2 linked regions of the Sus scrofa genome follow. The protein of the gene in region 2 purifies or fractionates together with the protein of the main gene of each other region. This does not show direct contact. Links are inferred from orthologs where the notes say so. Each region holds a gene or a part of one and is shown on either strand. Other genes may lie near its edges. The genes, in order: PDS5B and CDCA5.

Region 1 (4,287 bases), on a different chromosome or scaffold from region 2:
TAAATATTGCTTAAATCCTGAATAAAACAATACAGACCATGTGGATGCTTCTAAGCCTCCAGGAGATCTAAGGACTACCCCAATTCCACCATAAGGATATAACTGTGACTTTGGCTAAACCATTCAAATTATAATCTGAACTAATGTCTCATGCATATGATAAGTGAGGTGGAAATCATCTATGTTTCCTTATAGCTCCCTAACACTAACAAAGGAAACACAAATCTACTCTTTTGAGTATATATACAGTACTTGTCATCAAAACCAAATCACTGTAAGCTCTCCTGTAGGTTCTAGGCACACATGATGAAAAAGTAGCACTAAGGAAGCCACAGGACAATCCTACTACTCAAAGAGGGAGAAGCAGAAAGAATACAATCTTCCAAAATATTCCCCCTGACACAAAGTTTTGGTTACCATTTACTTTTCACCAGAGCAAGCCCTAATATAGAGTATTGCTTTATTTTAGGCCTAACCAATTATTGATAAAGCCTAGTCCTCAAAACATAACTCTTTGTGACTGTTAAAGTTTCAAAACAACTTTAAACTTAAAAATGTTATCCAAAATCCAACTCAGTACAACTACTTATCAAATAAGCTAGTACAACATCCCATGACAACAAGAATCACTATCATCACTTTATCTCCTCTAATTCTTGGGGAAAGTGATGGAAAAGAAAGCATAAGCATACAAGAATGAAAGTGACAAGAAGAGTAAAAAGCTACTGTAGGGGTGGGAATGGTTTAAAAAAATTAATTTAATAAAAAGCTTCTGTAAAAACAAAGTTAATGCATGGATAATCAACCTCAACAAAAGAAAAATAAGAAAGAGCACAAAAATTCTTCAAGGCAAAAAAAAAAAGTCAATACAAACACTACCATGTCATTTAAAATACACCTTCAAGTAAAACCCAGAGATTTTTTTAAACCATCAAAAAGGCAAAAATAAATAACTACTTCAGTAATCAAAGAATGTCTAAAACGCACCTTTTCTATATACACTTGTAAATTCATTTTGAAAGAATAATGTTCTGACTTAATTTTTTTACACCTAAGTTTTTCAAAATAAATCTATCTTAACATAAGAAGTTTCATGTTGAAACTTTCACCTATATATTCACCACTACAAATTTTAATTAGGTTTTCTGCTACTACTCAGTGATACAAAATTAACTGTTCCACAAACTGACCTGCATACACCATAAGAATGCTCATTTTACGGTTCCTAAAAATGCTAACATTTCTGACATATGCAGTGCATAGATAAGTGTCTTTTCTAACCCTTATTTTGCTTAATACCATTTTTGTGTTTTTAACTATTTTACTTGACTACTGTATAAGTTAGAACAGAAAATACTCTATCTTGGGACTTCACATACATATGCTGAGAACAATGATTATACATACTGCCATCGAGGTTTTGGGTTTTTGTGGGGGGGTTTTGCCATTCAAGTTTTAAATAATTATGACTCATGTACAGCTCGCCTCTTATATACATAAATAAACTTGGATTCTTAATGATTATTAGGAAGACAGCCGGTGACCCCCAAATCACTCAAGACCACAGACTAAACCTTCGAAATCAAAGGCTATATCCAAAATTTCCGAAATGGTTTAATAAACAGGGTTGGTAGGGTCGTTCAGGACAGTACCGTCCAGCCATCATTTCATAATAAAAGTATAAGAGCGTTCGAAGTACGTTTTTCAAAGTCAAATAAAGGGTTCTCTTTTGGAGTTGATTAGGATGCCCAAAACGCTCTTTCCAACCCTATCCCGAGTTTGCACGGGCCGCGGAGGAACGGAGGAAGCGGCAGTTCTGAAGCGGAGGTGCTACGTTTCTGGGTTCGGAGTCATTCCCTCGAATAACTGTACCAGGGCTTAGCGTGTCGCGGCTTCAGCGCATGTACCAAGAGGCAAAGCAGCACAGAACCACAAACAAGCTTTTTCTCCCGACCAGAAACTTTTCAGGTGTCAGTAAGATAACAGACTCAAAAAAACGTCAACCAGACACCGTTTGCACTGTCGTTCCAATTCCGAGGCTTCCTAAAGGAAAGCTAGGACTCAGTGGTCGCCAGGGAGGAGCCACTCCAGCCCGTCTGGACTCTTCCCCAACTAGGTCCTCGGGTGCCCCCAGCACCAGCTCCAAGAGGCGCGGTGAGCGCGCTTTATCTCTGGCGACTGGCAAGTAACCGTATAAAAATGTCACTCTATCGGCCCTTGTCGTCGCCCGGAGCAGAGGCTGCGCGGAGCGGGCCCGGCGCGGGGGACCCGGCCGCGGGGGCGGAAGGGCCGAGGCCCGCAAACCGCCCCGGGGTCAGCCGGGACCCGCGCTCCCCGCCCCTCGCCCGGAAGGGGGAAAACCCGCCCGCGGGAGGATTCAACAGGAGCGCCGCGCCGCCCGCCTGCCGCCCGGGAAACAGCCGCCGGCCGGCCGGGCGCGGGGGGGAGGGGCGGCGGCGGGGCGCGGGCTGCGGGGCGGCCGGGCAGCCCGGCAGCGGGCGCGGACCCCCGGCGCGCGCAAGGTCACCGCCCGCGGCCCGCCGCCTCCGTCGCCGCGGGCGCCCCGGTCGGGCCAGGGCGGCAAGTTTAATTTCCAGAGGCTGCGGCTGAGCCCACGGCGTGGAGGGAACACGGCGGCCGAGGGGCCCTCCCCACCCCCCACCGCACAGCCGGGCCCACGCCCCCGGCCCGCGCCCCACTCCTCCCGGCCCCGCCGCCGCCAGGCAGCCGGCGGCTGCAGCCCCCGATGCCTGGAAGCGAGTCTCGGCTGGCAGGCGGGCGGCGCTTGAGCCCCGCCACAGACACAGCCGCGGTGGCGGGCGCTGAAAAATGGAGCGCGGCGACCAGAGAGAAGAGACATTTTCTTCCCGTTAACTGAATTGTTTCCTACCTCCGGGTGCCCGACTCGTTACTCCTCTCACTCCGCTGCTCTCCGGGATCCGCCGCCGCCGCCGCATCCAATCGCCTCCTCCCCCCCTCCCCTTCCGCAGCCAGCCCCGCCGTTCCTCCTCCTCTCCGCTTCAAAATGGCGCCAAGAGCTCTTCGGCGGCTGCTCCAATCGAACCGCCGCGGACAGCACCGGGGGCAGGCAGAGCGCCGCGTGGGTGCGCAGCGCCCCCTGCCGACCGGACAGCCTCGCGCGCGTGCCCGCCGGCCTCCCCTCCGCCCCGCCCCGTGCGCCCGCGCGTGCCCGCCTCCGCCCCGCCCGTCGCGCGCGCACGCAGTCACACGGGCACGCCGCCGCTGTGACATCGAGACCCGGGGCTGTCAATGCTTTCTCTGCTTCTAAGGCTTCCTTGACTTTTGCCGAAAACCACGTAAATTGTTATATACCTCTACCTTTATGGATAAAAGTTGGGAATTTTTTAAAACAATGAAACAATACTAATATCGTGCTAAGTAAATAAAATTGATGTTAACTACTTTGCTCCTTGCTAACGCTGACCTAGTCATCTCAAAATGCCCTGAGTTGTTTTTGTTTTTGTTGTTCTTGCACTTTATATGTTATGTCTTTACTTAATCTCACAGCTGTCCCATTTTCAGGTATTGTTTAGGCGGTGGCTGCGAGGACATAACAAGTCCACCTGTAACAAAGCATTCCATTCATTTTATCACAATTGTCCTTATTACAGGGAGAAATAATCTGAAGAACACAAGGAAGTCTTCTGGGAGGTGGATTTCTAACCCCCTTCACCTCCAGGGGATGCCGCTCCTCACTTCTGCAGCTGTACTACGAGTATATTGAAAGTTCATCTGGGGTCCGTCGTGGCGCAGTGGTTAACGAATCGACTAGGAACATGAGGTTGCGGTTCGGTCCTGCCTTGCTCAGTGGTTAACGATCCGGCGTTGCGTGAGCTGTGGTGTAGGTTGCAGACGCGGCCGGATCCCACATTGCTGTGGCTCTGGCGTAGCCGGTGGCTACAGCTCTGATTCGACCCTAGCCTGGACTCCATATGCCGGGAGCGGCCAAGAATAGCAACAATAACAACAACAACAAAAAAAAGACAAAAAGACAAAAAAAATTAAAATAAAATAAAAAAAAAAAAGAAAGTTCATCTGGAGATTTACTATTAGGATGGAGAGAGAAAAAAAAATCTCTGAGGATTAAATGAAGCAGTTGCTTAAAAAAAAAAGGAACTATGTTGTATGCAATAGCAAATGGATTTACAGAAATTAGTAATATAAACCTTCATTTAAAGCAACACTATTTAGGGAAACAAATCTGAAGTTGGTATTAAAAGAAATTAGTATTAAAAATAAATGTCTGTCTTTAGGGCTTTAAAAAAA
Region 2 (3,620 bases):
AGGCAGCAACTCTTTAATTGATTGTTTAAAAAAATTTTTAAGACAGTTTTCCCTCAACTCCATTTAGTTTGTCAGGGGCAGAGAGAAGTCTGCAGATAGGACATCAACTCAACATCATTTGACTACTCCTGATTCTGCAGGACAGACACCTCCCAGGAACCGTCCCGCCGCCAGCCAGTGAAGACAAGGTTCCTCGGGTGTGGTCAAGGGCATCTGGGCCCATCCTGGCAAAAGGGCTTGCTTATGGCGTCTGACAAAGCACCAAGCGCTGGACAGGTGGCCGGGGACCGCTAGGCCCCACCGAGTTTAATTAACGCCCACTAGGCTCGAGCCATTTCAGGTACCCTAACACGCAAGTGCTCAGCTTCCCTGATGCCCTCTGCGGTCTGCGAGCCCCCTGCCCCTTAGCCTCTATGTCCATGAACCTGCACACGTCAAGGGCACCGTGGCCTGCACGATGGTGGAAGTTGTAGTTGGACAGCCTTTGAAAGTTCACCTTTTGTCAATATTGAGCAAAGAGAAACAGGGGCTGGGGAGGGGGGATCCCCAGACAATGAGATGACCCCCCTCCCGCCCGAGTTCAGCCCCTAGCACCTACCTCAGGCAGTGCCCTCATGTGAGAGGATGCTCAGGACGCTGAAACTTAAACTGCTCTCCACCCTGGCCCCTTTCCGGCCCATGAGAAAAGCTTCCTAGAACCTTATAAAAGACTAATGTCACCCAGACCATTCAATCCCTACGTTTTTCTTCCAGAGCTGAGCAGACTAACAAACAGGTGTGAGTGACAAGAGGGACCCCTTCCGGCCCTCTGCTGGCATCAGTCCGAATGCCCTGAGCCTCAGGTTCTGTGGCATCTGGAGGCACCTTCTTTGCCCCAAGCAGTCAGTGCCACACCAGCCTGGCGCTTAACCGAACATCCCAACAGCAGAACACACAAAACTATCGAACACAGCTTCTATGTAGTAAACGTGTACAGTCTGAGACCCAGCCAAGTCTTCCCTTCCTCCTTCAAAACTCAAGACTCCATAGGCTGCGTGTCCAGCTTCCTCCTTGGAGAGAACAGCCTCCAATCCACGGGGACAGTCCTCCTGGACCCTCTACAGAACCTAAGAGGATACCCGAGCCTCGTGGCTGGGAACCAAGCCCCAGTAGCGGCAACTCAGAAGACAAAGCCTGAGTCTGGCTGTGGCCCTCAGCATCCATTTCTGGTGGGGCTGCTGCAAAGCAGACACATTTCCCAACAAGAGCACAGATGCTCTCTTTCACTCTCAACTCCTGGCCCTTTAACCTCCTCTGGCTGGGCCTGTGAGTCCTACTCCCTAGTCCGTGGCCCAGCTGGAAACCAGCTGGGATGCTCCAGGAGGTAGGAGGGCAGAGGGTCGTAGGTCACCGACTACAGACAGGACACCAGTGTGTGGCTGGGCCAGGTGGGCCCCGTTTCCTGAAGCTAAGACGGCCCAAAGGACAGGCCTTGTGTGCAGCAATAGCACGTGCACGGGTAACAAAACCAAGGGAGGGGACCCCAAGGGGCTTCTCCACAGGGCGAGGGGATTATGTACAGGGGGAAGAGGGCAGCGTGGCCAGGTACACCCCCATCTCATCTCATTCAACCAGGAGATCAAACTGCTCAGCAGCTTCAAACTCAGCATTCATGGCCGCAGCCCATTCATCCAGCTCCGATTTCTGGGGGAAGAGAGATGGGGGGGCAGGTGAGTGGGGAGGGGAGCACATTGGCTAGAGCGCCTCGTCCCAGACCCTGGAGGCCCTGCCTTTCCCCCATAACAGCCAGGGCTGAGCCTCGGCCCTGCAGTGCCTGGCACATCTCCCCGTGCCCCTGCCCCTCACTCACCAAGATCTCTGGCACCTTCCTCTTCTTCCGTTTCTCCTTCACGGCTGGTGGCGAGATCCCAGGGAGCGTCGTGTCTGGTGCCCAGGGCTTCACAGGGACCCTGGGGACCTCAGTTAACTTTGAACCCACCACAGGTGAGACTCCAGCCAAGTCTTCTGTGGCCAGCAGCCCCTCAAAGCCAAAGCAGGACCGGCGGCCCGGGGTGGAGGTGGAGGCGGAGCCAACAGTCTCCAGGCGGCTGTAGGATCGCCTGACTTTCTTTGACATTTCCAAGTCTCTGGCGTCCAGGTCTCCTTCCCCTGAATTGGACTCAACGTTCAGGGAACACAGCACAGGAGTGGGGGTGGGAGTGACAGGGACACTGCGTGTCTGGAAGAGGTCCTCCCTAGTAGGCTCCTTGCTAGGAGGGTTGTTTTCTTTCTCCAAGAAAAACGCGATCTGTACCAGGACAGGAGAGAACGCCTCCCTGTTAGTTGTTCTACTTCGAGAAAGGCCTGATTTAGGGCGGAAAGACCGACCCGGGGGCACTTTAGAATGGAAAAGTGGAGGGAATTCCCGTCGTGGCTCAGTGGTTAACGAATCCGACTAGGAACCATGAGGTTGCGGGTAAATCTGACTGGGAACCATGAGGTTGTGGGTTCGATCCCCGGCCTCGTTCAGTGGGTTAAGGATCCAGCATTGCCATGAGCTGTGGTGTAGGTCGCAGACGTGGCTCGAATCCCGCGTTGCTGTGGCTCTGGCTGGTGGCTACAGCTCTGATTAGACACCTAGCCTGGGAACCTCCATGTGCCGCGGGTGCAGCCCTAGAAAAGGCAAAAAAAAAAAAAAAAGAAAAGTGGAGATGGGTCAGGAAATACATCAGACCAGAGACAGATGTGGGATGGGGAAGAGACCAGCCGGTCACTGTTCCTGAGTCCACTTTCGTGCCCCAAGAGGACCGGCCACCACCCCTTGGAGCCGCCGGCTCTGGCTCTAAAACATGACTGCAATCTACCCACCTGTGACGGGTGCCCCGGTCCCTGTCCCTCCGGCTCAACACCCTCCTCGCCGCCCTGCCCACTCTGATCCGTTTGTCTCACAGCTGGTGATGATTTTCCTAAAATGTCCACCCAGCCAATAAGTTCTTAATGGTCACCTGCCAGGCACCGTTCTGGGCACTGGGAGCCAGAAGGGAGCAAAACAGAGAAAACCTGGCTCCATGGAGCTTCCACTCTAGCGGGGGAAATAGGTAACCGGGAGAGTCATATCGTCCATCAGAGGCATTAAGCACCTTGGGAAGAGAGAGAGGAGGGGAGGGTGCCCCGGGAGTGGGCTGGAACTCGGGTAGGTGCAGGGCAGCGGAGGCCTCACTCGGGTAGCACGTGAGGTATGACTTGAAGAGCTGAGGGAGTAATTTAACTGGGAGGGAGGCAGGGAGAACAGAAAAGTCCTGGGGTGAGAGTGTGCCAATCGGGGTCAAGGAACAAGGCCAGCGTGGCCCAAGGGAGAAGTGAAGAGAGGACCCGAAGATGCAGCTCAGGTGGTAATGGTGGCGTCGGAGGCGCTCTGTGGCCACAGTAAGGGGAGACCCATGGAGCCTCTTGCTCCGGGACCCAAGGAGCCACGGGAAGGGTGGGAACAGTGCCTAATCTGACATGAGCATTAAGAGGCTCACATATTGGCTCCTCGTAATTCCGATCTCAGCTCAAATGCTGCTTCCTCAGGGAGGCCACCCTCCCCATGGACTGGAGACCAGCCGTCCTCACCCCTGCCAGTTACCCTCCGTCACAAT

The links.
Region 1: the proteins of CDCA5 (region 2) and PDS5B purify together in Homo sapiens (affinity purification with western blotting; 4 studies listed by BioGRID and IntAct, with this or other methods). This does not show direct contact. The link is inferred for Sus scrofa from reciprocal best matches to the Homo sapiens genes CDCA5 and PDS5B.

What each region holds. Positions count from the first base shown.
Region 1 is NC_010453.5:9,013,500-9,017,786, reverse strand, and holds the start of PDS5B (sister chromatid cohesion protein PDS5 homolog B), read right to left. Parts: upstream 3,094-4,287; 5' UTR 2,891-3,093; intron 1-2,890. UniProt on the Homo sapiens protein: Regulator of sister chromatid cohesion in mitosis which may stabilize cohesin complex association with chromatin. May couple sister chromatid cohesion during mitosis to DNA replication.
Region 2 is NC_010444.4:7,106,446-7,110,065, reverse strand, and holds part of CDCA5 (sororin), read right to left. Parts: intron 2,288-3,620; coding exon 1,850-2,287; intron 1,684-1,849; coding exon 1,603-1,683; 3' UTR 1-1,602. UniProt on the Homo sapiens protein: Regulator of sister chromatid cohesion in mitosis stabilizing cohesin complex association with chromatin. May antagonize the action of WAPL which stimulates cohesin dissociation from chromatin.